2 linked regions of the Pelodiscus sinensis genome follow. The protein of the gene in region 1 interacts with the protein of each later gene in a pairwise test. Links are inferred from orthologs where the notes say so. Each region holds a gene or a part of one and is shown on either strand. Other genes may lie near its edges.

Region 1 (16,189 bases):
ACTTATGCTAAAGAGTCCTTCATTAGATATTTTCTGCCGCAAAAACTTGCACTGTAGACTTAGCCAATTATTTTTAAATAGGACCTCCTTCCTTCCCCCTTTTTTTCCTTTTAGCTCTCATTTTTAAACAGGCAAATCGGCATGAAAAGGGAATCTGGATTTCCTAGAAGCTCATCCATACCTGCTTCTTATCGTATGGATGAATTCATAATCTTTGTGACATCACAGTGCAACTAAATTGTTATGTCACAAAGGACTACCATTTCAGAGGTAAGAAGCATATATTATTCCAAGGTGGGAAAAAAATAGATTACCTTCTGCATATTTCACAAAAGGTATATTCATAAAATGATACTAAGAGCAAATGGTTAAATGATTTTTAAATCTCAGCCCTTCCTATTGTATTTTATAGTTAAATATTTAAAGTATACCAACTTAGCAATGACATTTCTGGCATTATGTTCAGCCATGTACAATATTTTTCTAGCTTTTGAAACAGTTGATAATTAAAAGAGTATAGCAAGTTGGCCTTGAAAACGTTTCAGTACAAATTGGACTGAATGCTACACAATGATGAGTTTTATTTGTTTAATTTCCAAATATGATATTATCAAATGGCATAATGTGTATAATCTGGATGGTATAAATATCTTATGAGACAAGTCAAGAATAAGTTCAATCAAGAGATTTTATACCAGAGTAAAACAGTGCAGGTGAGAAGAAAACCAGACTCACTATTTGCAAAACCACTACAAAAATGTAATAACTTACTATTATATTACTGTTATGTAGTATATTTAATAGTATTATTTGGTGTATATACAAGAAATAACATAACAGAGCTCTTCTGAGCTAATGACTACTTTCCTTGGTTGGTATTCTAAACCATGAAGCTAAAGGTTAAGTCACAAATCTTCAAATGTCTTAAGAATCTTAATTCCCATTGATTTCAATGTTTGTTAAGTGCCATAAATGCCTTTGTGGATAAGGGTCTGAGTACAATGATCCTCCAGGGAATACTTTTTTAGTTGCAACTACTATGAGATTGAATTGATATTTGACAATAATGTTAAATGTTAGATATAGCACATCATTGACCTGATTATGAAAGCCTCAAAAACATAAAAATATACTGGGTCAGACCAAAGGTCCATCTAACCCAGTATCCTGTCTGCCAACACTGGCCAATACCAGATGCCCTAGAGGGAGTGAATAGATTAGGTATTTGTTACATGATCCCTCTCCTGTCATCCATTTCCAGACAAAAGGAGGGTAGACACCATTCCTACCCTTCCTGCCTAATAGCCATTGATGGACCTAACCTCCATGAATCTATCCAACTCTTTTTGATCCCTGTTGAAGTCCTACTCTTCACCACATCCTCTGGCAAGGAGTTCCACAGGCTGACTGTGCGCTGAGTGAAGAACAACTTCCTTTTGTTTGTTTTAAACCTGCTGCCTATTAATTTCATTTGGTGACCCCTAGTTCTTATATTGTGGGAATAAGTAAATAACCCTTCCTTATTCACTTTTTCGACACCAGTTATGATTTTATAGACCTCTATCATATCCCCACTTAGTGTCCTCTTTTCTACGATGAAAAGTCCAAGTCTTTTTAATCTCTCTTCATATGGGATCCGTTCCAAACCCCTAATTATTTTTGTTGCCCTTCTTTGAACCTTTTCCAATGCCAATATATCTTTTTTGAGAAGAGATGAAAACCAATCAGGACTGTGTGTGTTCAAAGTTCTACAGACATTCTCTAAGTAGTGTTCTTTTCTTTCACATGATATTGGCAAAAAAAAGTTAAAATCCCATTACCTCCTCAGATTTAAATGCTCAAATCTGTTAAGGCATAAGCCATAGTACTAAATAAAGGTTTTTCTGTATATCTACCTGCTCCCCTTCATGTACACTGTGATAGGACAGCTGATATAAAAAAAAAATTGCAAATTACAAGTATTTCTGCACTCTCCCAGAAATGATTGAATAGTTTTTTAATTCCTTCTACACCTAGGCTACATCTACACTGGCATGATTTTGCACAAGAACTCTTTTGCGGAAGAGTTCTTGTGCAAAAACTCTTCCAGAAGAGAGCGTCTACACTATCATGTGCCTTTGTGCAAGAGATGTGCTTTTGCACAAGAGCATCCATGCCAGTGTAGATGCTCTCTTGCTCAAGAAAGCTCTGATGGCCATTTTAACCATAGTGTTTTCTTGCGCAAGAAATTCATGTTGCCTGTCTACACTGGCCTCTTGCAAAAGAACAGTTGAGCAAGAGGGCTTATTCCTCAGTGGGAGCATCATAATTCTTGCACAAGAAGCACTGATTTCATACATTAGAACGTCAGTGTTCTTGCGCAAGAACTCACAGCCAGTGTAGACAGGCAGCAAGTTTTTGTGCATAAGTGACTGCTTTTGCACAAGATCACGCCAATGTAGACACAGCCCTAGAGCTCTTATTTATCATTGTTGACTTAATTCTGTCCTTAGACAGACCAGGTGTCTGCCCCACATTGGCCCTACCAAGAATTAAATTCAGCCCTCAGAAAGGGCTGGGCCTGCAGAGCAACCATCTAAAGCATATAGCAGCCAAATAGGGCCCAGCTGGGACTCTATAAATAGGGGCTCCTGGAGTGGCAGAGAGAATGCTCTTGGAGTAGAGCAGGAGGGACCTGGCTGCTAGGGAAATTACAGAGGCTTCCTGAGACAGACTAGTGCTGGGGAAGAGCAGGCAAACTCTCAGGCTGAGGCATTGCTCTCAAGGCCTGAGAGTATTGGGGCTGCAGTGAGATAGCCAGGGAAGCAGAAGGCTGCGAGTCCATCCTTTGCCAAGGATGAGTGGCCATTTCATACTGTAGTTTACCCCTGGGAAGGGTTGCCAGGTGTCCGGTATTGACCTGGACAGTCCGATATTTTCGCCTCCTGTTTGGTAAAAAAATTCAGAAAATACCAGGCTACTGAAATGTCCAGTATTTTCTGATTTTTTTTCCCAGCCAGGAGGCGAAAATACCAGATACCTAGCAACCTTACAACACACTCGGCAACTGGGCCCAGCCCCCAACCCTCTCTCCTGCCCCCCCCCCCCCCCCCCGGTTCCGCAGGGAAGCTGCGTTCAGTCTCCATCAAGAAAACAAAATGGCCACTGGCAAAAAGCCTAAAGAACTGAAGGAAGGGGAAGCAATGCCTTCCTTGGGTCTTAGTGCTCAACCGCTCCATTCTTGCTATCCCTACTCTGACTCTGCATGCACTTAAAGCTGTTTTAATGCTGTTTCATTTTTTCATTTTTTGTTTGCTCAACAACTTTGGTCTCCGCCTTTTTTTCCCCCTCAACAGAATTTTTTCCCTGGTGGGTTTTTTTTGGGGGGCGGAGGGTATTTTTGGTTACACTATCTGGCAACCCTGCCCGTGGGGCAGGGGTTAGATAATGACTGGCAGTGGGTCATTGAGGCAAGGTGGATATGGGGGTTTGGGGTTCCCTGGGAGGGGAAGACCCCAGAGTGCAGGGGCACTGCCACAGAGCAGTATCGTGAGGGAACGGCACTGTGGGCCAGGAGGAACATGGGGCCTGCTGTAACTGAAGACAGATAATGGAGGATGAGACACTGCTCAACAGGGGGCACTCTGAGAGTGAAGAGCTAATTCCCAAGGAGACCAGGAGGATGTGCCATGGCAGTGAGTCTGACCTCATTGTACCTTGTTGGTTTTGAACTGATTTTCATTTCTTACTAGCAGTCAGGCAGGGCAGGTATTATAGGACCTTTTGTAGGATAGTACTGTATTTCTTGGATACCTGAAGTTGCCTGTGCATTCGTCTCATGCCTCATAAGGCAAACGAAGTATGCAGCTCTATGGAAATGAAGTGCCTGTTATGTCTTATTAGTATTGTTTAAATATACACTGCAACAAATCATGTTTTCAAATCACTTTTTTTTCTTATTGCTTATGTACCAGACTGAACACACTAGACAGTGATTGTCTCATTCTCTACAGAACAGGGATGGGATGGGCAAGGCAGTTGAAGCAGAAGGTTCTCTCCCTTAACATGCTTAAAATATTGCTCTGGGGAAACAACCTTTAGAAATGAGGGGAAAATCCAATCCCCTGGTTACACTCTGCTCTCAATTGTACTGCTGACTTCAGTGGACTTACTCCAGATTTACACTGGTGAACTAGAATCTAGAACTAGTCGACTGTGTCAATTCAGTAATTAGACAGACTCTATGTTTATTCTGTGCCTGTGGAGACTGACCACAACAATGCTAATTGTAATGCTGCTTTTTAAGATGTGGATTGTGTCCCCTGAAATACAAAGCAGACACAAAACTCACTGTGAACTTCAGCTTCCCAGAAGATGGGCCCACTGCTTCTCAGTCCTCAACGATGGTAGACTGTTAGCAGAGATGTAAGTATTTAGTGCCTGGCGTGAGCAAGCAAATTTGTGTGTCATTTTTCCACCCAAAGAAAAAATATTGGGGGTCATGTGATCTCCTGATTTTTCTGGCTGTGCCTACTCCATCCTCCACCCCGCAAACAGACCCGTTGAGGTGAATCAAGGGACCTTGCCTCTGTTTCCATCCCATTTTCCTGCCAAGATTCTGTTCTCTGTTTGCAGCTCAGACTGCTGGCATTGCTGGTGGTACTTCATTTTCTGCTATTTTTTACCTACCTATGTCAGCAGTGGCTGATATTTTTTATCAAGTAGTAAAACGAAGTGAAGCTTTTAATTCAGTTTGTACCTTTCAAACATGCATAATTTAAAAAAAAAATCCAAGCATTTGATAAACATTTTTTATTTGCATCAAAAGGATATTTTTCTTTTAACAAATGAACAATGACTGTCAGTAAGATAAAACATAGTCCCCTTATCACTGTAAAAGGGAAGCTTCAGAAAATTTTCAAAATTAGCCTAGGAAAAGAAACCTGTCACAATTTACTAGCTTTCTTGTTTTCAGGTTAGACTCACCTTATTGCATGAAGCTGGAGTGGGTGCACTCAATAGGTAAGAGATATCAAACTCATTCTGTCCTGAGGGCCAAATGACATTTTCAGTGGAATCAGTGGTCAGTGTTACAAACATAAAAGGCATGTTCTGTACTTGTTCCATGCAGAATCCTGATGGCTTTCCTTCTGCATCCCCATCTGTTGGTAAGGGAATGTCATTTTACACCAAATTCATCTGCAAAATTAAACTGTCCGAAATACTCATCAGTATTGCTTTGCAGCCAGCTTCCATCTGCTGTAGTGCTGTGTCAATTGCTATTGCTGGCAGCAGTCCACAATGACAATGGAATGGTAAATTGATGTGGGGACGGAATTAATACATTGACTGGGCTGCATCCAGCCTGCAGGCCACATGTTTATCATCCTTGCCATAGACTCATTTCACAGAGTGAACTTGAATGAAAATGCTGAAGTCAAAGCCACTGAGCCATGAGAAATATAAAGTTATTAAGTGTAGATCTGATGGAACTGCTGAATGGAAGTATTTTGGGAAAAAGAGTAATGTAATTCTGGGAAAGAACAGGTGGAGTGAATCTGATATCAAACTAATGAGTTACAGAGAATGGGAACAAAAGACTAATGGGAAAGGATCCAGCAAATAGCAGTACTTTGATGGGCTCTTTTCTTCCAACTGCATGAAAGAGACTGAGAAGAAGAGACAAAATTAAGAAATCATTGGGGAGGACAAGTTTAAGTTGCTTTATTTGTCCAGAATTTATCTTCATCCCAAGAAGTCAATATAAGTAGTTGCTTAGATAAGTCAAAGATTTGGCCCAAGGCATTTAGCCTTTGTAAATGCCAAATTAAATAACAATGCTATCCATCCTTCAAACAACAAAAACCTGCACAAGCCCCCCAAAAATCAATTTTGAGGAATTTATTAAGCTTTGAATGAGCTTTTGGCGTCTGGAACAAGATGGCATTTATACTGGACTGTAATTTCAGTAGGCTTAGTGTTTCAACAAGTGCCAGAGGACAAAAGGAGCACAAGGACTAATTTAAAGTACTGTATTACCATTAAATGCCATATCCTTCTCCTTCCATTATTCCCCTCCCCCCTGAACCATCAGAGAGTATAGAGAAGATTAAGCTTCAGGAGCCTCCATTTCAGTGTTTTTTTTTCTCTCCTTTAATCAAGCCTGCATGGTTTATGAATTCCCAGAACAATTTTTTAAAGTGAGCTTTTGTTTACCCAATATTTTTTCCACAGTTACCAGCTACAACAGGGCTACTCAACTTTTAAAGCCCCGGAGGGCCGCAACTTAAATGTGGTTGCATATATATGCACATTTACCTGTAAATATATGCAAATAGCTTCTTTCACACTGACAGGCTTGAATACAAAGATTAAGCTTAAGCAGGGGCGCTGGACCCAAATATGGCCAGTATAAGTCAGTCAGCACCTCTCAGGCTTTTCCCACAAGGCTAAGCAGCCAGCACGTCCCACAATGCCTCGGTGTTCCGGACACCTCTGCTCTGGGGGCTAGAAACTCCAATACCCTGCACCCATCTGTTCCAGCCAGTCCGTCTGATTGAGTCTTTCAATGCTCACCCCGCCTGGGAGATGCCTTGCCGTTGTGGAGCGTATTCCCAGGGAGGCCATGTTCAAAGAATCCTCCCCGTGGGCCATGTGTTGAGCCCCATGTAAACCCAAACCATATTTCAGGCTGCAAATAAACTGGCCGCGGGCTACATGTGGCCCGCAGGCAGCGTGTTGAGTAATCCTGAGCTGCAATAATAAAAAATGCTCTGTTTTAAATATTATCTGTCCAGATAACTACACAAGTTGCTGTGTTCTTCAGTGACCATCATAGAACAAACCCCATTAATACGCATCAGCTGGTTCTGAATTTCAATACTGAAACACTGCACCAGAAGTCAGAAATAGGGGGTAATAAATATCAGAAGAAAATATAAAGCTACTTTGAGAGAGAAATTTAAAAAATGTAAAAATCCTAGTCCTGTACAAAGGCATGTATCTTAAATACATGTTATTTTTACATTGGAATTCCTATATAAGCAAACAAGTAACAGAGCCTACTTATGTCATTCTGTTGTTTATCTCAAAAAGTGAACCAATAGAGCCCCCTAGCTGCTACTGGAAGCAATTCACACTCCTACAATAAAACAATACATAGACATGAATAATGCAAACAGTGATAGTAAGCAAACGAACATGTTTTATAACAAATATACAAGAGGAACAGTAGAGATGGTGACGTGTTAAATATTGGTTCATATGTAAATGAAATGTACATGCAAGAGAATCAACATTTATCTAGACACAGAACATCTGAGTACTTCCTAAACTGAAAAATGTGAGACTTTATTCCCAATATGCACAAATAGTTTAATCTTTTGAAGCACCTGTTGACTAGACAGTTACTTTAAAATAACCATGATACAAACACAAATCTGCCTACTTTACTGTTTGCAATAAAGAGTTATTCATAAAGCTAATAGGGGATATTATAGCTAGAAGGGTCAAACCACTTTTTGTACGATTTAAGAAGATATAATGTTAACATAAATTATGAGCTAAAATAGAAATGATTACCTAACAACAATGGACAAACTCCACAGCCGGTTCTCATCAGTGTGGCACACTTGATGATTACCTGTTCTGTTCATTTCTTTGAAGCCCCTGGCATTATCCACTGTCATCAGACACAATATTGACCTAGATGCCCCTTTTGTCTTACCCAATATAGTTGTTCTTATGTTACATGTTCTTTGACTCAGAAGATTTACTGCTTTAGAATCAATTCATCTTTGACAATTTACATTATTTTTGCCCTTGCTTCAGGCTAGCTAGTTCATTCACTTTCAGTCCTGAGGTTTTGTTTCCCTATTTAGGTCCTGGTGAGTGTCTGCTTCCTACTTACACTTCTCTGCTCAGAAACTTCTCCTCAGTTGGAATGCTTCTTTAAAAAAAAACAAACACAAAGCTTCCTTCAAATCTTTCCTCCTTTCTACCTGCCTCATACAAATACAGTAGAATCTCAAAGTTACAACCACCAGAGTTATGAACTGACTGGACAACCACAGACGTCACCTGGAACCAAGAGTATGCAATCAAACAGTAGTGCAGACAAAAACAATATTGCACTGTACTGTTAAGTGTGAACTACTAAAAACAATAAAGGGAAAATAAAGATTTGGCAAGGTAAGAAAACTGTTTCTGTGCTTATTTAATTTAAAGGAAAATGGTTAACAGCAGTGTTTTTTTCCTGCACATTTCAAAGCTATATTAAGTTAATATTTAGCTGTAAACTTTTGAAAGAACAACCATAACACTTTGTTCAGAGTTACAAACAACCTAACTCAGGTTCTACTGTACGAATGCTCTGCCAGCAACTACTTAGCCTAAACCAATTCTCAACAACCATTCTCCTTGTAGTAGCTCTCCAGTCATACCAGAATCTGGATCCTATTGCTGTACTAGGCGGAGCCAACATCCATGCCTGGCTCCTGGGTAAAGAAGGAGGGGGACAGCAATGCGCTCCCAGAAAGAGCAGGGCCTAAGGCAGAAGGGACGGGGTTGAGGGCAGCAGGGCCTCAATGCCACACAGACCAAAGCACCCAGAGTGCACTGCGCACTGCTCAGGCAGCAATTTAAAGGGCTCAAGCTCCAAGTACAGCAGTGGCTCCCTAAGCCCCTTTGAATCACCTCTCCTTCAACCCTCTGTTGGGAGGTCTGGTATTACGGGACATCTGGCAGCAGATTCCCTGCAACTGCTGCTTATTTCTCTATTCAGAGATGCCAAATGTCAGTTGAAGCCAAACAAGCCTGTTGTCAGATAGCAGAACCACTTAAGGAAACAAAGTTAATTTTTCACCGTACTTAAAAATAATACTACCTTACTGCCTAGACACCGCCTAAGTTTGAAAAGTTTTATTAGAGTTAAGAGAACTAACCACACTAATTAAAAAATGTATATTCAGATTAATGAGCTTCTGGTACTAAGTTGATTTTCTCCAGAGCTAATAAACACGTTAATGTGAAATAGAAAACCATGCCAAAACTCTAAAAGACAAATCAGTCTCTTGAACACAAAGCCCACACTCTGTGCTTAATCTTTTATAGTTCAGTGCTTAAAAACTATTACATTCTTTTGCCTACGGGGCAAAAGCTCACTCCAGTGTTACTTCAGTCTTTGGAGTTACACCAAGAATGAATCTGGCTTATAGTGGGCACATTTCTGCATACTTCAGATACAAAAGTGAACTACAAATGTAAAATCAACTGCTGAGTGTCACATACAAGAAGTTCTCTTGCAGATGCATATACAAATGTCTCCACCACAAGACCCCCGCTATCTACCACTGTCTTTCCATCCAACCCCTACTTTACCTTCTCCCTCTTTACAACCACCAGTCTCCCCTTTCCAACCACCTCTACCGCTGAGCTTCTCTTTTCCCACCCCTCAACCCACCTTCGTCCTTCTCCTCTAACTTCAGGCTTCCCCATCTGATGTGCTGGCTGTGAGGCTCCTCCTTAGCTCCAGAAACTGCTCCTGAGGGGCTGTTTCTCCAGCCACCAGTCGGGAGACAGGAACTGAGGCAGCCAGGCAGGGACAGGTGAGGGAGGTGGGAGGGACCGGGCACAAGGCCACTGCTAAAGGGGGAGGAGTCAGGCAGGCTCAGGGAAGGGCTCCCTAAACCCTGTGTGAGGGGCCCTCTGAAGTGGTGAATAATCCCCCCAGGGATGAGAAAATAACCCCAAGCCCTGCCCCCCCAAGAGACAGAAATGAGCCTGGACTCCCTGTTCCAGCAAATCCTCCTCACGGAGCAGCAAGCGGAAGAGAAGCGGCGCCTCATGCACCAAGGTCAGCCACACGGCCGCCATCTTGTGCCTGGTGCAGGGGGACGGCCACAGGTGCCTGTGGCCACATGACGCCCAAAAAGCCCTGAGTGGCAGTAGGGGTGGTGTTTTCAAGGGCAGCAAGGTCAGTAAAGGCTGACTGAGCCTTTCCCCTGGAGTTTTAGACTCCTAGGGTATGTCTAGACTACATGGCTCCGTCAACAGAGCCATGTAGATGAGTTCACTAGACATAGGAAAATGAAGCGGCGATTTAAATAATCGCCGTTTCATTTACATCAAAATGGCCGCCGCACTGAGTTTGGCGGCACAGTGCGGTAGTCTGGATGCTCCGCCGTTGACAACGGAAGCCTTTGTCGACTGCTCCGTTATGCCTTGTGGAACGAGGTTTACCGGAGCGGTCGACAAAGGCTTATTATTTAAATCGCCACTTCATTTTCCTATGTCTAGTGAACTCATCTACATGGCTCTGTCGATGGAGCCATGTAGTCTAGACATACCCCTAGATTGTAAGGCCAGAAGCGACCTTCAGAGAGTGTAGTCCAATTGGGTTACCTTAGGGTCAGTGCCAGTACAACAGGTATCCCCCTCTGGCAGGGCTCTGGGGAAATGGGCTGGGCATTTCCATACATCCCCGCCAAGTGTCTCCTGGCCCTGCCTGCCGGCCTGCATGCTCCCCCTCCCCCTGCCATCCCCTGGTAATTTAACGCCCGCAGAAGTCCCCAGTGTCACCACTGGTAGCACAGGGGCTAGTGTGTCTTCTGTCTGCTAGCTCTCTGCCACTGCCATATGGCCATGGGGAGGTGTGTGCAGCACCACGCCATCCATAGGATGGTTTGGGATGGCCACCCCAAGCCTCGCACTTCATGGGGTGCCATAGTGGCTTCCCAAGCCGTCCTATGGATGAGAGGGGGTCCCTCATATTCAAGGTAGTCTGTGGGACCCTGGACAGGCTGGAGCTTGAAGGAGGAGTCGGGCCATCCCACACTCATCACAGTGGCAGGAGCTGCAGGGAAACAGAGCAAGGAAGCAGACTGGTCTGCTCCACCTCCCTCTCCCAAGCCACCCTGCACTGGGGCTGGGATGCTGTACTTCCCACTGCCATAGTGAAGCAGAGTGACCGGGTTGCCCTGGGAAATGGTGACAGAGCAGAGTAGATGCAGCTACATCACTCTGCTTCCCTGCAGCTCCCACCACTGCAGTGAGTACAGTGGGGAGGGGTGGAAGGAGGCCACTACTGCTGCCCCACAGCAGGCCTACTAGTAATGCTTGAGGCTGCATCCCTTGGGGAAGGGTACTTGAGGGAAGAGTTAAGATGGGAGGGAAAAGAGCAGAGCAGGGCTGGAAAGAGGTGGGATGGAGGTGGAGCAAGGGCTGGACTTGGGGGAAGAGCTGCACCACCCAGATGGCCACAGGGACTCATGTGCCAGCAGCTGTGCATAGGGCAAATTGTGGAACAGCTTGGGCTGCAGATGGCCCATGGGCCATGAGTTTGAGACCCCTAGTCTAGACCTGTGTTTCTCAACCTTTATTTTATAAAGTACCCCTTTTTTAAAAAAATAATAATTATAAGTACCCCCTTTTTTGAAAAAAAAATTATAAATACCCCCAGTACCTACAATTTTCAGACACACAACATTTTTTTCTACCATTGCAACACCTTTGTTTAAACAGCTTAATCATAGCCGAATGGGCGATGACATTTTTGGGTGTAAAAAGTACAAAAATAATAAAGCACTGTAAAACTTAAAACAAAAATTCAATTTTCTCCAAATTTCATTTGTGTTGATGTACGCCCCAGACTTCTCTCGAGTACCCATAAGGGTACTCATACCATTGGTTGAGAAACACTGATCTAGCCAGACCTGGCCTAGCCAGGCCACCAATTTACCCTGTTACTCCTGTATTGAGACCAATAACTTGAGTTCCTGCCTTCCGCACCTCAGGCCCTGCCTCTACAGATTGATAAGCTATATCTTCCAGAAAGCTGTCCAGTATTGATATTCACTTATATAACCCTATGGGTTTTGCATAACCACATCAAGGTTCATGCCTCTGGGCCTTTAGTTTTACTGTCATGTCCCTAAAAGTCTCTGTCTGACCTGCATATATAGCAGTTAACCCTGGCTTGTGTCTGATGCTCAGCAGGTGGAATTGTTATTGTTCAGATATAATCACTGAGAGGTTATGCTGAAATGTCACTGTCATCAAATATTATGAAAGGTTATCAATATAAACAGAACAAGGCTAGAAGAAGCATTAAAAATCAGTCGGAGCAAAATCCTCCCTTGACAATAGCAAGGTTGTCGATACTACCTAGACACTCTACAAGCAAAGGAGAATATACAGTGGGATCATTTTCATAAAAGAGCAAAGATTCCTCTTTCAATCATTATAGTGAATTCGATATGGATTTGGGGCAGTCCTACAATAGACACACGTGGGTTGGCTTTGGAAGAGCCTATCACTCTTCTCCCGTGAAGGAATACAGCAGATCAGGCTTGGATCATTCTCTCACACAGCCTTACCAACACATAATTATTTTTCACGAGACTCACAATATTTGTTAAAGCGGTGAGGAGTCCTGTGGCACCTTATTGACTAACTGAAGTGTTGGAGCATAAGCTTACGTAGGCAAAGACCCACTTCGTCAGATACATGTAGTGGAAATTTCCAGAGGCAGGTATAAATATGCAGGCCAGAATCAGGCTGGAGATGACAAGGTTGATCCAATCAGGGAGGATGAGGCCCACTTCTAGTAGCTGAACTGTTGGGTGTGAATTCCAAGAGAGGAGAAACTGCTTTTGTAGTTAGCAAGCCATTCACAGTCTTTGTTTAATCCAGAGTTGATTGTGTTGACACGAAAGCTTATGCTCCAACACTTCAGTTAGTCTATAAGGTGCCACAGGACTCCTCAACGCTTTTGCAGATTCAGACTAACACGGCTACTCCTCTGATACTTGACAATATTTGTTGTTATTCCTAAAGCCCCAATTCTTGGAATCATGTTGTTATTACAAGTCAGAGTGAGTGTGTGTGTGTGTGTGTGTTTTCCTCCCCACCCTTTCCCTCCCCACCCCGCATGGTAGAAACATGAAAAACAAACCCCAAGACTCAGAAGGCAAATAAAAAAGGTCCATTATTTTTATTAACCATTTGCTGATTTTCAAACCGACTTCATAATATTGGGGGTGGCTAAATCATGAATTTTTGAATGCTTGATTCTGGCAATCCTGCAGTCCAGACCAGGGGTGGGGAACCTCCAGCCACAGGCTGCATGCAGTTTGTCAGGGATAGCTGCTGGCAGGTCTCCAGATGGCTTGTTTACCTGAGCATCTGCAGGCATAGAGCCCTGCAGCTCCCAGTGGCCACAATTCATTGTCCCTGGCCAACAGGAGCTTCAGGGAATGGTGGCCCAGCTCATACCACTTTCTGCAGCCACAATTGGCTGAGGCAGGTGAACCATGGTGACTGGGAGCGGCAAGCAGCAGTGCAGCCAGGATGCCAGAAGACCCCCACCCCTGGTCTAGACCTATAGTTTGAACTTTACAAAATCTGCTTTCAGGACATGTAGTTTCCTGAGTGCAGTGGGAACTTTAAGGAAGCTTGTCCAGGATAACACAGAAAAAACACTTTAGAAGATACAGTAATTCCTCATTTAACACTATAGATATGTTTCAGTAAATGATCGTATTAAGTGAAAACGTGTTATGCGGGGTCAATTTTTCCATTGAAAATAATGGAAAAGGTGGGGGTTGCGTTTCAAGCGGTGGTGTCTGTTGGGACCGGGGCATAAGGTTGTGGGAGACAGGGGACTGTGTTACAGCAGGGAGGGGAGGTGTTTGGCTCTGGGGAATGAGAGGGGAGGGGGATTGGGTTGGGAGTATGCCCCTGTGATGGGTCTGCCAGGAACCACACTGTGTCTGGCAAGGGGGGGTTGCCAGGAAATGGCATGTAAGCAGCGAACCCTCCGCCACTTTGCACGGAGGCAGGGGAAGCCCCACGCAGCCACTGGCAATGGGCTGGCTGGGGAAACCCAGCCGCTGGCCTGCCAGTGGGGGCAGAGGAGAGGGGGCAAGGCGTCCAGTAAGGGGGAGTCAGCAGGGAACGGTGCAGCGAACCCTCCACCGCTTTGCAGGGAGTCGGGGGAAGCCCCACGCAGCCGCCAGCAATAGGGCGGCTGGGGGAATCGTGTTATTCCAGGGACGGTCGTGTAATTCAAAAAATGTTCCCTAAAAAAAAAAATTGTGCTATCGCAAAAACATGTTAAGCGGGCACGTGTTAAATGAGGAATTACTGTATAGAAACAGAACCCCAGTATTTTGTCACCCTGCTACTTATTTTAAAAAGTAAGTCATGGTGTAATCAAAGTATCAACAAGGTACTTACTATACAGCATAACAGATGACCCTTACTTTAAATCAAATTTTCAAAGCCTGCTATCTGAATTATCTATGCAGATGCCATGCTTGTCCACATGAAAATAGTAATTAGATACTGTTTGTTCACAAAAGAAGGTCGATCACTTTAAAGTAACTGCTGACAGTGACTGTAACTGTTACAGGCAAATCCATGTGATTAGAAGTCTAGCAATTACAGGCAGTCCCCGGGTTACGTACAAGATAGGGACTGTAGGTTTGTTCTTAAGTTGAATCTGTATGTAAGTCGGAACTGGCGTCCAGATTCAGCCGCTGCTGAAACTGATCAGTTTCAACAGCGGCTGAATCTGGACGCCAGTTCCGACTTACATACAGATTCAACTTAAGAACCCCAGGCATCCCCAAGTCAGCTGCTGCTGAAACTGATCAGCGGCTGATTCCAGGAAGCCTGGGGCAGGGGCTTCCTGTAGTCAGCCACTGGTCAGTTTCAGCAGCGGCTGACTTGGGGACGCCTGGGGCAGAGCAGCTGGGGTGCTGCTGGGTTGGTCCAGTAGCGCCGCCGCTCCTCGGCGCTACTGGACCAACCCAGCAGCACCCAAGCTGCTCTGCCCCAGGCGTCCTGATTCAGCCGCTGCTGAATCTGACCAGCAGTGGCTGAATAAGGACGCCTGGGGCAGAACAGCTGGGGTGCTGCCCGGTTGGTCCAGTAGCGCCCAGAGCGGCGCTACGGGACCAACTGGCAGCTCCCCAGCTGCTGTACCACAGGTGTCTGGAGCAAAGCCACGGAGCACGGGGGCAGCGGGACAGCCCAGATGCGTCTGGGCTGTCAGCTGGCAGCGCGCTCCGCGGCTTTGCTCTGCTTTGCCCCCCCCCCCTCCTCCTGGTCTGCAGACCAGGGTGTTGGGGGGGGGGCAAAGCAGAGCCAAGCCGCGGAGCGCGCTGCCAGCTGACAGCCCAGACGCGTCTGGGCTGTCAGCTGACCACGCGCTCCGCGGCTTGGCTCTGCTTTGCCCCCCCCCTTCCCCTGGTCTGCAGACCAGGGGGACGGGGGAGGGGGGGGCAAAGCAGAGCCAAGCTGCGGAGCGCCCGGCCATCTGACAGCCCAGACGCGTCTGGGCTGTCAGCTGATCGCGCGCTCCGCGGCTTGGCTCTGCTTTGCCCCCCCCGTCCCCCTGGTCTGCAGACCAGGGGGACGGGGGGGGGGGGCAAAGCCAAGTCAAGCCTCGGAGCGCGTGGGCAGCGGACAGCCCTGTCCGCTGCCCACATGTTCCGCCGCTTTGCTTCCTCTCCCTGGTCTGCTGGAGACCAGGAAGAGGAACCCCGTTCGTAACTGCGGATCCGACATAAGTCGGATCCGCGTAACTCGGGGACTGCCTGTACATGTCTCTATTGAAATCATCTGTTTACACCAGCAGTGCACAATCATTTTTGATGGGGGGGGCGGGGAATCCAAGATTTTTGTAAGTGGGCAAGGGCTGCACTTTTCTATGGAGGAGGTGTGGCATCTGGGATGGGCATTGAGTGCAGAAAGAAGCTTGGGGTGCAGGAGAGAGTGTGGAGTTTGAGAGGGAGTTAGGGTGAAGGAGGGGGTTGTAATCTAAGGCAGGGATTTGAGTTGTAGGGTCTGGGACGGAGTATGGATGAAGGAGAGGATTCTGGCCTGGGGGAGGGTTGTAGGAAAGGGTGCAAGGTTTCGGAGGGAATTGTGACATAGGGGAGGGCGATGCAGAGGGTTTGGATGATGATCTGGAGCAGGAGCGGGATTGGTAACCTGGGGCAGGATTTTGGAGAAGCCAGCAGCAGGCTGTCGCTGGGAGGCGCTTACCTAAGCACCTCCCAGCCAGCAGCCCTGCAGGATCCTGAGGCAAGCTCCCTGTCTTCCATAGCTGCAGGCTGTTCAAAATGGTTGACTGCTCCCTGTAGCTCTCTACTCTGGGCACTGAGGGGAGGAGAAGACTTCGCACCCGCTCCCCTTCCCCCCCAGA
Region 2 (16,595 bases), about 40 Mb from region 1:
TAGCAAAGCAGTCCTGGCTTGGAGTGCTCTGAGTGCCCACACTCGGCACATCACAGCACTCGGCCATCAGCCCGGCTGCACTTGCCGCAGGCTGCCATCCGGAGGGGGGGGGTCAATCAAGGGGCTGCAGGAGAGCTTCCACCCTGAGGAGCCCGCAGAGCCAGCCCAGTCCTCCCCATCAGGGGCTCGAACCCCATTCCTCCCTCACCTCCTTCCACTTACCCCTCCCTAGCCCCCCTTCCTGATGTACAAAATAAAGGACACGTGTGTTCAAAAATAGAAACTCTCTTTCTTGAACAAAACTTGGGGAGACTGGGAAAAGGAGATGGGAGAGGGGAAGAGAGAGGGTGGGAGAGGGGAGGGCAACTAAAATGATCAGGGGTTTGGAACAGGTCCCATATGAAGAGAGGCTAAAGAGACTGGGACTTCTCAGCTTAAAAAAGAGGAGACTGAGGGGGGATATGATAGAGGTCTATAAAAGCATGAGTGGTGTGGAGAGGGTGCATAAAGAAAAGTTCTTCATTAGTTCCCATAATATAAGGACTAAAGGACACCAAATGAAATGAATGGGTAGCAGGCTTCAAACTAATAACAGAAAGTTGTTCTTCACAAAGCAAATAGTCAACCTGTGGAACTCCTTGCTGCAGGAGGCTGTGAAGGCTAGAATTAGAACAGAGTTTAAAGAGAAGTGAGATAAAGTGATGGAGGTTGGTTCCATGGAGTGGTATTAGCCAGGGGGTAGAAATGGTGTCCCTGGCCTCTGTTTGTGGAAGGCTGGAGATGGATGGCACGAGACAAATGGCTTGGTAATTGTCTTCGGTCCATCCCCTCCAGGGTACCTAGTGTTGGCCGCTGTTGGTAGACAGGCTACTGGGCTAGATGGACCTTTGGTCTGACCCAGTATGGCCATTCTAAGCTCAGGGCTCAGGGTTGGTGGTCTCAGTGGACCACCTTGATTTTCATGCATACCTGCTCCTGGGTGACCAGGTTGGCAGCTGTCCTGCCCTAGACAGCCACTTTCCTGTGCCTAGTGCAGTGGTCGTGGATGAGGTCCACAATGTCTGCACTAGACCAGGCAGGCGCCCACCTCTTACGGACCTGGGCAGGCTCCCAGGAGCCACCAGCCTGGTCCCAGGAAGAGGCGGAGGGCTGGGTGGCCGCGGGTGGCCAGGCTTGCACCTGGCACGGGTACCTTAGCCAGACCGTGCCCCTTTAAGGGCTCCGGGGCCGGGAAGGGGGCAGACGAGTCTCCCTGGTGGTGCCCAGAGTGGCCACCAAGGAAAGCTGGGGAGGGCTAGCCTCCCACTAGTTCGAATTAAGTGGCTACACAGCCCTTAATTCGAACTAATTAATTCGAACTAGGCGTTAGTCCTCGTAGAATGAGGTTTACCTAGTTCGAATTAAGCGCTCCGCTAGTTCGAATTAAGTTCGAACTAGCGGTTTGCATGTGTAGCGCCTATCAATGTTAATTTGAACTAACATCTGTTAGTTCGAATTAACTTTGTAGTGTAGACATACCCCTAGAGAGGGTCCAGAGAAGAGCAACAATAATGATTAAAAGGCTAAAGAAGGAAGGCTGAAAGAATTGGGTTTGTTTAGTTTAGAAAAGAAAAGACTGAAGGGGGACATGATAGCAGTTTTCAGGTATCTAAAAGGGTGTCATGAGGATAAGGGAGAAAACTTGTTCATCTTGGCCTCTGAGGATAGAACAAGAAGCAATGGGCTTATACTGTAGGAAGAGTGGTTTAGGTTGGACATTAGGAAAAAGTTCCTAACTGTCAGAGTGGTCAAACACTGGAATAAATTGCCCAGGGAGGTTGTGGAATCTCCATCTCTGGAGATATTTAAGAGTAGGTTACATAAATGTCTATCAGGGATGGTCTAGTCAATATTTGGTCCTGCCATGAGAGCAGGGGAGTGGACTCAATGATCTCTCAAGGTCCCTTCCAGTCGTAATATTCTATGATTCTATGATTTGACAAAAATATATGGAGTGTAGAAATTTGTCTAGAGCCTGAAAGGAATGAAACACAGACAAAATGCTACTTGCAGTTAACAAGATGAATTTTAATTACTTTTAAAGTTGAAGTTATTAAAATTCAAGTCTTTAATTCTGTGCTTAAATTCTGATCTGCATATATAGGGGCAGTACCTTTTCTCAGACTTGAGAATGATGAGAGGTACCGGGGCTTTTTTATATGTTGCAGTGAAATATACCTGACACTGAGATTTTTAATACACTATGGCTACGTCTACACTACAAGGTTTTTGCACAAAAACCCACAAGTGCATTTTTACACAAGAAAATCTACAGTCAATCGACAGAACAGAGGGCTTTTTGCGGCGTAGGTATACTTCCTTCTACAAGGCATAACTCCTTTTTGAGCTACAGCTCTTGCACAAAAAGGCATGTGTGGACGCTCCACAGGAGTTTCTTGCTCAAAATGAGCCTATCCGAAAAAGCACAGGTGCTCTGATGGCCAATCTGTGAATGGCCTTCAGAGCTTTCTTGCGCAAGAGCGTCCATGCAGTGTGGATGCTCTCTTGCACAAAAGGAGTAAAAGGTCCATGAGGTGTGGACATGCTTTTGTGCAAGCAGTTTTTGCGCCAGAACTCTTCTGCAAAATACTTCTTGCACAAAAACCTGCAGTGTAAACATAGCCTGAATATCACTGTATGTAACATTTCAGACCAAAACAGTTCAATTTTATATACTGAAAATTGGGACGTATGGGTAAGATTGTGACTGGCCGTAGAAGGGTCTAGTGGAGAATAAAGTCCCTGATGTTTTAGGTGGTCATGTTAGTGTTCCCCTTCTTGAGATTTCCGTTAGGAGGGGGAAAGGGAAGAAGAACAAGAGCTGTGTGCCTGGTATGCTTCTTCCCAGAGCAAATGGGTGGAAGGCCCAGAGAAATGGATAGAGTCAGCAGAGAGCCAAGACCAGTGGGAAGGTGGAGATTAGTTATTTCCATCCAGGAACAAGGGGTGAACAGGGAAGGAATTGTGAACCCATGAATTAGTCCCTTTCTACAGCAGTGCCTGTGGACAGTGCAGCATTACCAGTCCAACCCGAACTCTAGCCATGACTCAATTAGCAATCCAGTTTTCATTAGAATCTAGAAATGTGGGACTGGGAGCCCGGAAGATGCAAGCATCATACGCTTTCCCCAAATGCTCAACACTGATGTCTGTTAACTGACCCTTGTGGTCCACCAGGGCCTGCAGCACCATCAGAAAGTACCCCTTCCTGTTGACATAGTCCGAGGCATGGTGGTCAAGGGCCAGGATGGGAATATGAGTGCTGCCTATGCCTCCCCTGTCCCCACAGTTGGAAAAGCCCATGGCAGCAAAGCCATTGACGATGGTGTTGACATTGTGCAAACAATCCTCTGCAGTGCCACATTATTGATGGCCTTGGCTACCTGCAGGAATATGGCCCCAACTATGGATTTCCCCACACACAACTGGTTCCTGTCAAAGTGGTAGGTGTCTGGTGTGGTGAGCTTCCACAGGGCGATGGCGACGCGGTTCTGCAGGGGGATGGTGGGTCAGTCAGGTGTTCTGTCACCTGAGGGTAGGGGCGAGCCACTTGCAGAGCTCCAGGAAGTGGTCTTCTTCATACAGAAGTTCTGGAGCTGCTGCTTGTCATCCCATCACTGCAGGATGATGTGGTCCCATCAGTTGGAACTTCTCTCCCACTGCCAGAAGTGGCATTCTGTTGTGTGCAGGGGATTGAGGGTCATTTGTAGCAGTAGGAGCACCAGGACCTGGGTGAACAGGTGAGGCTGGTAGTCATCCTGTTGGAGCGGCACGTGGGCAGTCTAGATGAACTATGCCATGAGGCACAGCACGAGGCCTGTGAGCCTGGCACTGCTTTGTCAGTGCTGTTGTCGGTGCTGTGGCATCTGCAAGGGCAACCAGAGCACACCACATGAGTTTGGTGTCCCATGAGAAGGTGGCAGAGGAGCAGAGGGATGTGAAATGGGGCTGTAGAAAGGAGCCCTTAAAAGTATGTGTCTCAGCTTGCCTGACCCAGCAGCCACAGGAAGCATCCGCTCTTCTGTTGCACTCCCCAGAGTGCTTCTGGGGGCTCCACGTCTGTGGCAGGCTCCAATCAGTATAGGCGCACTGTTCTGAAATACTTCTGAGCTATTTTGATGCTCCCCCATAGTGTGGATGCGTTATTTTAATTTTGTTATTTCGGGAGTTATTTCTATTTTAATTATTTCAATATTATTTCCTAATGTAGTCATGCCCCTTGTCTAGGCCCCTGCACTAAAGCAAACCTAAGCATTATCTAGACCATCCCTGACAGTTGTTTGTCTAACCAAGTGCTTAATTCAGTCCAGGACTTGACAGCACTGGGCTTTGAAACCTCTAGGCTTGACAATTTTAAGCCCCAGCACTTCTGGGTTTTGCATCAGTAATGAATGTAAATAATTTGCTCAAGCACTGGAACCTCTTTCATTGCAAATGAAGCATTGTCCAGTCCTCAGTGGAGCTAAAGGACAATATATCCCCCTCCTTTTTATAACAACTTTTAAGACTTGAGGACTGTTATCATGCCACCATTTCCCATTGGTCTTCCCTTTTCTCCCAACTAAGCAAACCGAGTTTTTTCAATCTGTTTTTAGGCCCTGTGTTCTAGATCTTTTTAATCATTTCTCGAACTTGTCCAAGTTTTTCTCGTGGGCTACATCTAGACTGGCCCCTTCTCCAGAAGAGGCATGCAAAGCAGGCAAGTCAGAATAGGGAAATCCGCGGGGGATTTAAATATCCCCCAAGGGATTTAAATAAACATGGCCACCGCTTTTTTTCCGGCTTGGGGAAAAGCCGGAAAAGAGCGTCTAGACTGGCACGATCCTCCGGAATAAAGCCCTTTTCCGGAGGATCTCTTATTCCTACTTGCAAGGAATGTTTATTTAAATCCCTCGGGGGATATTTAAATCCCCCGCGGATTTCCCTATTCTGACTTGCCTGCTTTGCATGCCTCTTCCGGAGAAGGAGCCAGTCTAGACGTAGCCAAGGTGTGTTTCCTAGACTGGACATAATACTCGAGTTAAGGCCTTGAATAGAGTGAAAAAAATACTTTTTATATCTTGCTTACAAACAGTTCTGCATCCCAGAACAGTGTGAGCTTTTTTTTGGCACATTGTTATTTTGTTGACTTATATTTACTTTGTGATCCACTAGAATCCCCAGGTTCTGCAGTACGTTTTTCTGGACAGTCATTTGCATTTGTATTTGTCTAATTGATTATTCCTTCTCAAGTGTAGTACTTTACATTTATCCTTATTGAATGTCATCCTATTTATTTCAGACCATTTCTCCAGTTTATCAGGATCAGTGTTTCTCAACCAGTGGTACGGGTACCCTTAGAGGTACTCAAGAGAAGTCGGGGGAGGAGAGGGGGCGGAGGGATACATGAAAACAACTGAAATTTTGAGAAAACTGAATTTTTGTTTTAAGTTGTACAGCACTTTATTATTTTTGTACTTTTTATTCCCAAAAATTTCATCGCCTGCCCAGCTACAATTAAGTGGTATAAACAAATGTGTTGCAATGGTGGAAAAAAAATTGTGTGTGTCTGAAAACTGTAGGTATTGGGGGTATTTATTTATGATTTATTTTGTAAAAAGGGTACTTTATAAAAAAAAAGGTTGAGAAACATTGGTCAAGATCATTTTGAATTATAATCCCATCTTTGAAAACATTTGCAACCCCTACCAGCTTGGTATCCTCCAGAAAGTTTGAACACATACTTTTTATGCCACTATCTGAATCATTTCTGAAGATATTGCATACAATTGGACCCAAGACAGATCACTATCAGAGCACACTTGATATGCCCTTCCAGCTTGACTGTGAACCATTGATAATTGCTCTCTGCGTATCGTTTTCCAACCAGTTGTGCACCCACTTTATAGCATGTCTTCTCTTCTGTGTATTTATTAATGTGGCTCTGTTTTAAACAAAACAATGCCAAATTATTTTTACAGTACTGCTTTTGGCATGGAGAGTCTGTCCAGAAACAGTGACTAAAAGTATCATCAGCCAAAAAAAAAAATGAAATTAAGCATGCAAATGAGTCATAAACAAATGAAAAATAGAAAGTGATTTAATCATAGGCGTTTGACATTAACATTAACATGATTAATTTAAACAGTTTGATGGTGCCTTTCAAGACATGGATTTTCCCCCTCCTAATTCCTGTGAATACTATGCTTCTTGGCTACATCTACACTGGCCCCTAATTCCGGAAAAGTCATGCAAAGCAGGTAAGTCAGAATAGGGAAATCCGCGAGGGATTTAAATATCCCCCGCGGATTTAAATAAACATGTCCGCCACTTTTTTTCCGGCTTGGGGAAAAGCCGGAAAAAAGCATCTAGACTGGCGCGATCCTCCGGAATAAAGCCCTTTTCCGGAGGATCTCTTATTCCTACTTTCAAGTAGGAGGGATACTTTCAAGTAGGAATAAGAGATCCTCCGGAAAAGGGCTTTATTCCGGAGGATCGCGCCAGTCTAGATGCTTTTTTCCGGCTTTTCCCAAAGCCGGAAAAAAAGCGGCGGACATGTTTATTTAAATCCCTTGGGGGATATTTAAATCCCCCGCGGATTTCCCTATTCTGACTTACCTGCTTTGCATGACTTTCCGGAATTAGGGGCCAGTGTAGACGTAGCCCTTGTGAATATTGCTCAGAGCTCCATATTAAGGCCAAATTCTACCCTAAATAGTAGCATTTTATTTCAGTGGATTTACAGAGATTGTGAAGTAGCCAGCAATCATCCTCATGCGTGTGTAAGAATGCAGAGGTTATTCTTACCAGACCATTCTGTGCTCATTCTCTCAAGTTATAAGACATTTTCAGCATGTATGAGAAGTACTTTGATCTGATTTTTCAGCTCACCCAAGGCTTTTCTCTTATTGATGCAACATGGTGTCCATTAAGTAATGGCTCCCCTATTGAATTATGGTTCAAATACCAGCAGTACTGTCAGCACCAAGGCAAAAATCAAGAGTCAAGCCTCCAAACACCAACAGATTAGCCTGAGAATTGGGATTATTTATTTTAAATTAGATTTTTAAAATATTGCATTTTATTTTTTTTATTTGCCTTTTGCGACTCAGTTTGGCATCTTACAGCACTAGCTTAAGGACACAGTTGCTTCACATTTTCAAACTTTTCTCTAGAAACAAGTGGCCTAGAAACCAACTTTAAAAAAATTAAAGCTGAGACCCTTTTGCAACTCCTTAATTCCAATATCTGGGGTCCTTAAGAAAACATCCAAATGCCATGAGCCTTGTGATTTAATCATGAGTCATAACACTTTAGTGATTAGTCATCGAAGGCCATGTCTGCATTGTAGACTTCAGTCAACACAAGTTATAGTGACATATAGCCCCAGTTAGTTTATCACTTGAGCTCACGCATACTTGGTTCCTTGAACTGGCACTATGTACTCTCCAAGCCCTGGTCTACACTAGCGCTTTATTTCAAAATAACACCCCCTTCTGTTGAATTTATAAATGGACCATCCACCCTACCAAGCCTGTAATTTCAAAAATTGTGTTATTGCTTATTTCAAAGTCTGCAGTCCTGCTTTCCTCAGGAATAATGCTAATTTCAAAATAGTTATTTCAAAATAGTGGTAGTGTGAACACTCTGGTGCCACTATTTTGAAATAACTACTCCCCAGGGTAATTCAAACTAATTACTCGCCAGTGGTTCCTGGGCTCCAAGTCAAGGTAGTATGTCCTCATTAATGGTGCCTGCCTCAGACTAATTTTGAGGCTTCTCTGTAGTGGAGACAAGCTATTTTGATTTTGTAAAATTTGGAGTTAAGTTGAATTTAGTTATTTAAAAATAGTTTCTTAGTGTACACATGTCCCAAGAGTGCTTGTGTCGATGCAGAGCAGATACAATGGTAAGTATTCCCATGTGCAAGCTGCCAGCTCACTGTCTTTTAGGAATTTTTGGTAATGCCTAGGGATGGATATGAGGAGGGGGAAGAAATGAACCATGAGAAGTGATTGGGAGTAAGCAGTCAACTTTCCAGCATGCAGTTGTACCCATCCTATAATGTCAGTTCTATTACATAATTTTAAAAAAATCCTAGGAACCCCCTTGCTATCTGCCATCAGTACTAGAAACATCTAGCCTGAACATCTTTGCCCTACTGTGGAAAAAGTTGCAAACACAGAATGCATAATCCTCCATTATTTGCAGTGCAGTAGGAAGAACAGAATCACCAGGGAACATGCTGATTTCTTGGAGTCCAGATTGCTGTGGGATGTAGTGACCAATTCAAGGTTATTGGTTGAGTGCATGGAACAGCTACAGATGATGGAGTACAGGTTCTGGAACTAAAAAATGAGCATTGATTGGTTGGATTGCATCATAATGCCGATTTGGGGTGACATGTAATAGCTATGGAACTTCTGGGTGCAGAGTCCACATTCCTGCAGCTGCGCAGTAGATCGAAGTTATCTGGATGTCAATAAGATATTTGATACAGTTCCACATGGGATATGATGAGTTAAATGAAAGAAAATGGGGATTAGTATGAAAATTGAAAGGTGGATAAGGAACTAGTTGAATGGGAGACTACAAAGGGTCATACTAAAAAAAGTGAAATGTCAGGCTAATGGAGTTCCTCAGGTCTCTATCTTGGGACAGGTCTTATTTAACATTTTCATTAATGATCTTGGTGTGAATGTGCACTAATAACATTTTCAGATGATACAATGTTATAGCTAGTATGATATAGTCAAGATCATGAAAATTGGAATTACATTTAATGATGTGTGTGAGGTCATGCACTTAGGTACTTATGACAAGAATTTTTGCTATAAACTTTTTTTTGCTATAAATTTTTGCTATTCCTACTTTCAAGTAGGAATAAGGGATCTTCCGGAAAAGGGCTTATTTTCCGGAAAATCGCGTCTACACTGGCTCTTTTCTCCGGCAAAAACCCCAAGCTGGAAAAAAGCAGCAGCCATAGAAATGCAAATGCCGCGGGGTATATTTAAATCCCCCGCGGATTTGCAATTCCGAAGTGTCTCAATAGCATCCCTTTTCCGGAAAGGGATGCCAATGTACACATAGCCCTAGTGAAATAGTTCTTCCTAATATCCAACCTGGACCTCTCCCACCACACCTTGAGACCATTGCTCCTTGTTCTGCCATCTTTTACTACTAGAACAGCCTTTCTCCATCATCTTTGGAACCTCCCTTCAGGAAGTTGAAGGCTGCTATCAAATCCCCCCTCACTCTTCACTTCTGTAGACTAAACAGACCCAAGTCCCTCAGCCTCTCCTCATAAGTCATATGCTCCAGCCCCCTAATCATTTTGGTTTCCCTCCGCTGGACCCTCTCCAATGCATCCACATTCTTTTTGTAGTGGGGGGCCCAGAAATGGACACAATACTCCAGATATGGCCTCACCAGAGCGGAATAAAGGGGAATAATGACATCTTTGGATATGCTGGCAATGCTCCTCTGAATGCAACTTAATATGCCATTAGCCTTCTTGGCTACAAGGGCACACTGTTGACTCATATCCAGCTTCTCATCCACTATAACCCCCAGGTCCTTTTCTGCAGAACTACTACTTAGCTGGTTGGTCCCAGCCTGTAACAATGCTTGGGATTCTTCTGTCCCAAGTGCAGGACTCTGTGCTTGTCCTTGTTGAACCTCATCAGATTTCTTGTGGCCCAATCCTCCAATTTGTCTAAGTCACTCTGGACCCTATCTCTCCCCCTAGCTTAGTGTCATCTGCAAACTTGCTGAGGGTGCAATCCATCCCCTCATCCAACTCATTAATAAAGATATTGAACAAAACCGGTCCTAGAACCAAACCTTGAGGCACTCCTGTAGAAACCGACCGCCATCCTGACATTGAGCCGTTGATCACTACCCACTGGGCCCGGCCTTCTAGCCAGCTTTCTATCCATCTTACCATCCATTTCTCCAATCCACATTCCCTTAACTTGCTGGCAAGAATATTGTGGGAGACCGTATCAAAAGCCTTGCTAAAGTCAAGATATATCACATCCACTGTGGACTTTCCCTTGTCCACAGAGCCAGTTACCTCATCATAGAAGCTAATCAGATTGGTCAGTAACAGTAGTTCGAATTAGGATCTTTAATTCGAACTACCTACTCCGTGCTGCGGGCACGGAGTTCGGACTAAGGGGGATTTAAAAATGACGGCGCCCGGGAACATGCAAATGAAGCCCGGGATATTTAAATCCCAGGCTTCATTTGCCACTCCGCTTGCTTAATTACCCTACCTAGCTCGAACTATCGAGCTAGTGTGGACGTAACCTCGGCGACATCACCTGCACAACCACCGGTCAAAGGGTGATGTCCTGGAATAGCCTTCTATGGGGAGCAGTGGGTTCACAAAGCCTAACTGGTTTCAAAGCTGCATCTGGGAAGTATGGAGAGGGGATGGTGTGATGAGATTGCCTGTAATGTCACATGGACTATCTGCAACTGCTGGTAGCAGATATCTCCCCAGTAGCCCGAGATGGGACACTAGACAGTGAAGCTCTGAGTTTATGAAGAGGATTCCTTTCCAGGTGTCTGGCTGCTGGGTCTCACCTCTACCCTCAAAGTCTAATTAATCACTTTGTATAAGGTCAGGAAGGAATTTTCACCCAGGTCAGATTAGAAGGGACCCTAGGTTTAATTTGCCTTCCTCCGGCACTGAGGCATGGGTCACTACTACTTTGAGCTGGTGTAAATAGTTGATTTTCTGTCATTTGAAGTCTTTAGAGCATTTTTTGAGGACTTCAGTAACTCAGCTAGAGGTCAGGCATTTATGGGTATGTCTACACTGCAGAGTTTTTTTGGAAAAACTTCACTTACGTCCATGCTGCAATCACATTCTTAAAAAAAATCAAAAGAACAGAGGGGTTTTTCCAACAAGAGCTCTTTTGGAAAAAGGCATGTGTGGATGAGGAAGAGAGAGTTCTTTTGAAAGAAGAGGAAAGAGGAAAAAATTTAAGTGTCCTGGTGGCCGCTCCATTGATAGTAATCACAGTTGAAATGTGGGATATAGTCCATTCAGTCTGGACACTCTCTTTCACTTTTTCGATGCGCTTTTGCGGTGTAGACGCTCTCTTTCAGAGGAATTTTTTCCGAAAGATCTCTTCCAGAAAAGCTTCTTCTGAAAGAAGCCTGCAATCTAGACAAAGCCTATGACAGGAGTGGGTGGGTGAGATTCTGTTGCCTGTGACATGCCAAATGTCAGATGAGATGATCACAATGGTTCCTTCTTCAAGTTTGAATCTACAGAACAGTATGCATAGTGTGAGTGAGCTCAGGAGAGACAAGAATAAGAGACAATGTCAATGTTGTCTGAGGGGAGGGGTATTCTAACTGCCTTGTCGTGGTGTGACTTTAGATTCACGCTAAGGATGCTTGAACTCTGCTCTTACACCATTCTAGCACAGGCTGCTTCAGTGGATAGGATGCCCCGCCTCCGAATCTCTGCTTGGTTTCTTGCTGTAGTTTATGCAGTGCCATTGTCACACACATCAAGAATGCTCAGAATACTCCATTCTTTGGGAAAACATGTAGCAGCAGGAATATTTTCTTCTATTGTCAGATGATCTAGCAGTCTATTTACTAGATTCTTCATTTGCAAGTAGACAGGGAACTCCGGACTATCTCAGTATCAGCATATTTGATTGTATCCTTATTTGACCCTTTATAGATTTATAAAGCTAGATTTGCCAACACTGTACTACAGGATTATTTTGGATTTTACAGAAGCAATTTCTTTGCTGCTCATTTAAAAATTCTTTGCTAATTTAGCAGCCCTTCCTTCCAATTCAAATTAATTTTTTTTTCACAGCTTCCCTTGGAGTTTGTGCTATCAGCATAATCTGTGAGAGACAACTGAAGAAAAGTCTCATGAGAACCTTAATTGATCATCTCTATTTCAAGTAGTAAATACAGCATAGCACATATTAAGTAAATTGTGAATACTCAAATGTTTAAAGAATCTGAATGCCAAACACTTGGCTCGATGTGCTAGAAGCTCCAGTTGTTATTTAACAATATAGTTGTAACTGCAAAGGTGTGTCACCCATTTTTGAGAATCTCCTGGTTTCCTGTGTTCATATATTGAAAGCACTGCTGGATAGGCTTTGTGGTTGTGAGAGTTGCAGGGCTAATCCCCATGGTTCTTTGATTATGAGCATGTGCAGAGCAGCCCAGCGTACGGTATGTGTATGTAGAGCTAACACAGAGATTTGCCTTGCAATGCCATGTTTGTGTTTGTGTTCCAGCAACTGAAAAGCTTTTAGAGAGACTGATTTATTGAGTATCTGATGTTTTCTTGTTTCTGTTTCAGCATTCAGGATCATTCCTTCAACAGTACAGCTTTAGCAGAGTAAGTGAATACTTTAAATACATACCTTTACCATTAAATAAGAATGATGTGTTAAACGGTGCAGAGAATATTTTCCGATGCTATTTCAAAAATAAAAAAGCTTTCTGTAACATTTTATGATGCACTCTGTGGTTTTACTATTTTATTGAAAATATGCTGAATATGATGTAACAGCAATATTTATGTATAGTTAACCATGAGCAATGGAGTAGCATCATGAAAGAATATCTTTGTTGCTGCTTTCTGCTTTATATATATCTAAATGTGTTTGAACATATGATTGTATTGTACATCTAATGAGAAAATGTTGCTAATTCTTTTTATTGATGATCATGACAAGCTAATGTGTCATTTTCCTAAGAGCACATATTCTATTCTTACTGTCAGCACTGGCAGAAAAAAAATCTTTAAGAATATTTTGAGCAAAATACTATATTATTTAGACAGGATCAGTACCCGAATGCAGTTTCCCTCTGCAATTAAAGCGGTACAACTTTTTACCAGGACTTTTGCCCACTTGATTTTAAATAAATATGTTTTGCCTTTTTATCTTAAGATGAACAGATAGCAGAACAGTAGAAAACATTGTAAAGTTACAAACACTGGGATGCCACTAACAATTTAAAAATGGAATATACTTCTGGTTTCCTTTAGACTAGAGAAACATGCTTTAATTTCAGATGTGACTATTCTACATTATTTATTGACATCAGTACAGCTCTCTTTGGCTCTGAAAATTACATATCATGATTGTGTCTGTGTTTCATAGGTGTTTTATCTCCAAAATTTCACACACTGGATTATATTTTAGAAGACTGCTCAGCTGAATTTTGGCCAGTGCTTGTCAAAAGGGAGATGTTTTAAGATTAGTTTCCGTATAAATTACATTTCACATTGCTGAAATGCTAGGAATAAAAAGCCTAAGTTGATTGTGAACTGTTTGCTAAAGTATTGCAGGGAAAATTATGTACTCTGAAAGCAGTCTAGGTTGTAGCTCAGTATGAGCAATCCAAACGTTCTGTCAAACTGCAAATGGAAAATGGATGGAATATTTCTCTGGGATTCCAAACACCTTTTAACCTCCTATATACTTCTCCTACTTTGCTTCATCTATTAATTTTGTCCCTGGTTTTGGAGTGCTACAGTAACCAGCATGAAATTAAATACAAAAAAAAAACAGAAAATGATTTTATTATTTTTCATTAGCTTTGCCACTATACAGCTCCGCCTTTAATGCTGTATTGTGGGCGATGGGATCTAAAATGAAGGACAAAATGTGGGATTTTACAAATGAGGTGCATAGTAAGACATCACATTTTTAATACTTTTCCCTCTCCTTCCCAACCTCAGTCCCTCGTTGGTTCCTTTCTCTTCCTCAGCCTCACTGGAGTTTCTCCTGCCAGATCTGTGCTCATCCCTGCCTTTCCCTTGGTTGTATTGCTAGGGCCAGTGGTGCGGGGCTTTCTCTGCCAGGCTTCCTGTCACGCTACTGGACCTTTTGTTGTTTTTTAAGTTTGTCACTCTAAGGACAGGAGGGGAAGCATTGCAGAGGGCCCTTATAGTGCTAGCACTGCCAGTAGGGAAAAGGAGGGGCAGAATATGTGCCTAGAAGTCATTGCAGGGCTGTGTCTACACTGGGCCACTTATTCCGGAAAATCAGCCGCTTTTCGAGCTGTCTACACTGGCCCTTGAATTTCCGGAAAAGCAACGATGCTATACTGTACAAAATCAACCGCTATTCCGGAAAAACTATTCTGCTCCTACTCCGGCATAAGTCCTTATTCCGGAACACTGTTCTGGAAAAGGGCCAGTGTAGACAGCCCAGTAGTCTTTTCCGGAAAAAAGCCCCGATCGCGAAAATGGCAATTGGGGCTCTTTTCTGGAAAAGCGCATCTACATTGGCCACAGACGCTTTTCCAGAAAAAGGGATTTTCCGGAAAAGCAGCCTGCCAATGTAGACGCTCCTTTTCTGGAAAAACTGAAAACGGAATAGTATTCCGTTTTAAGCAGTTCCGGAAATTCATGCCAGTGTAGACGTAGCCCAGCAGTAGTTGGCAGAGAGTGTAATTGCAGATCCTTGGTCCAAAGTCCTCTGAGAAATGGGATATCCCTCATCCTGTGGGGCATGTGAGAAGTTTGCTAGCTGCACATCAGGAACAGAACCATGTTTTCACACTGAATTTGGCTTTCTCCTTATTTTAATAGGTTTATAAATGCTGGGGGCTAGAAAAATGTTTGAAAAGCCCTGTTTGGGCTCAAATTGTCAAACAAGGGTGCTAAAGTTAGTTGTTATCCTTAGTTAGCCACTGAAATAAAAGTATCAGGGGTGCTGAAAACACACAGCTCCTATTGACGTCACTACAAACTGTTCATACTGTGCACTTCTGAAAATGAAGTCTCTTTTATTTAGCAGTCTAAATGGGGATCTAGCTACCTAACTTTGGGCATCCAGTTTTGACCTTACATTCTGAAGCACAATTCTATTGCCAAGGCGCAGATGCTGTAGAATAATACAATGCACAGGACCTTGATATAAATTTTACTTTTTTCTTAGGGACCTTTCTCCAGATAAGCCAGGCATCCAAGTGGTCAGGCTCCTGGTGTGTCATATGTGCATCTGGTGCATGAGAAGTTATTGTTTTTATGCATGTCTTAAAGGTCATAGTTCCAAAATAGATGCAGCTTTCCATGTGCTCAGAAAGGTTTCCTATCTGAGACAAAGAAGGAGCAACTCACAATACATCCACTAAATCCCACATTCTCTAGAAAACATTCATAGGAATTGCCATATCAGATCAGATCTGTCTGTCTGATGTACTCTCCTGTCTCGAGCATCTAGTACTCTGTGATTCCAATGAAGATCATTAATGGAATAGCCCACCGCTAATGGACTTCTCCCTGCTCTTTAAAAAGTAATCCTGTATAGCATAACAGTAGGTCTTTTCACAATCCATATAGTGCAATGCGCCAATCCTTTTTAAAATCCTGCGAGGATCTTAGCCTCAAGCAATAGCTTGTGGCACTGCATTTCACAAATTCATCGGGTACTTTATTTTTAAAATTTCCTATGATCAGTTTTAAATTTGATTCCTTTTAATATCATTACTCCCTTGTTTCTATGAGCTGAGTAACTAGAAACATCCAAATGTCTACTCACTATTTTGTATACTTCTATACTGCCCCCATCATTAACAGTCCACCTCATATAATGTTCTCCTCAGTGTCTGATAATTCTGTTTTTATTTATCACTTCAGACAATCATGTGGTGCTGCAGTAAGGGTCAGTGCTCTGTAGTTCTCTGGATCACCGCAGAGCAAACCCAGTGGAACCAACATGCAGGGAATTTGCTCAACAAAGGGAGGAATAGCCAGGCAGCATTCAGCTGGTGTGTCTGTGCTGCATCCCTCACAGTCCCTTGATGCAGATGAAAAGAGCCATGGCCCGGGGCGGCTGGCTATATGTTCAGACTATTCTTGGTTGTCAGAGTGGTGCCACAGGGACCCAGGTAAAAGCAAGAGCAGCTCGGACTGGCCCACAGACCACGAAAAGTTCAAAGGTGGTAGAACCTTCCTCTCTGGTTCTCTGGACTTGTGACAAGCTGAGATTGGAAGGGAGAAATCAAGGCTAGTGTGGAGCTTCCATTCAAAGCAAGGTGGAAACACTGTTTATTTACACAGTCCAGAGTTGGGTCAGCCAAATTATATACAAAGACACATGCCCACATGACACCAACTCTTCTAACATATGTACACTAGAAACCAGTCTGCAGGGACCTTAGATAGTGTGGCTTTCTTAAGTGGTCCAGATAGGCCCCAGCCAAGCCACACAACCTCTCCTGCCTAGTAATTGCTCCTCTCTTAAGCAATTCCAGGCCCTCACTTACGTTAGTCTCCTGTGAGGAGCCTTGGTGGCATTTTGCTTCATTCTGGTGTCTTTACTTGGCAAATTAGTAGGGGCCATTCCACCTCTATCAAGGAACATCCTTTCTCTCTGTCTCCCCACCTTGTGTGCCCCCTTCTCTCTTTCCTCCCTCTGAAAGTGCCCCTGATTTTTCCCCTCTACAATCCCAACTCCTATCCCAACTTTTCCAACTGATTCCCACCCCTCCCCCATCTGTAGATAGGGACTTCTGGCAAGAGGATTTCTCTCTGTCACACTGGTTAGCTGGAGAGTGGCCCTCAGGGCCAG

What was found.
Region 2: the proteins of CCDC172 (region 1) and FAM13C interact in binary tests that used the Homo sapiens proteins (3 or more experiments, as listed by UniProt). The two-hybrid records come from large-scale screens. The link is inferred for Pelodiscus sinensis from reciprocal best matches to the Homo sapiens genes CCDC172 and FAM13C.

The regions. Positions count from the first base shown.
Region 1 is NC_134718.1:61,628,009-61,644,197, reverse strand, and holds the start of CCDC172 (coiled-coil domain-containing protein 172), read left to right. Parts: upstream 1-9,624; 5' UTR 9,625-9,753; coding exon 9,754-9,832; intron 9,833-16,189.
Region 2 is NC_134718.1:21,953,111-21,969,705, reverse strand, and holds the start of FAM13C (protein FAM13C), read left to right. Parts: upstream 1-8,475; 5' UTR 8,476-8,553; coding exon 8,554-8,579; intron 8,580-12,367; coding exon 12,368-12,406; intron 12,407-16,595.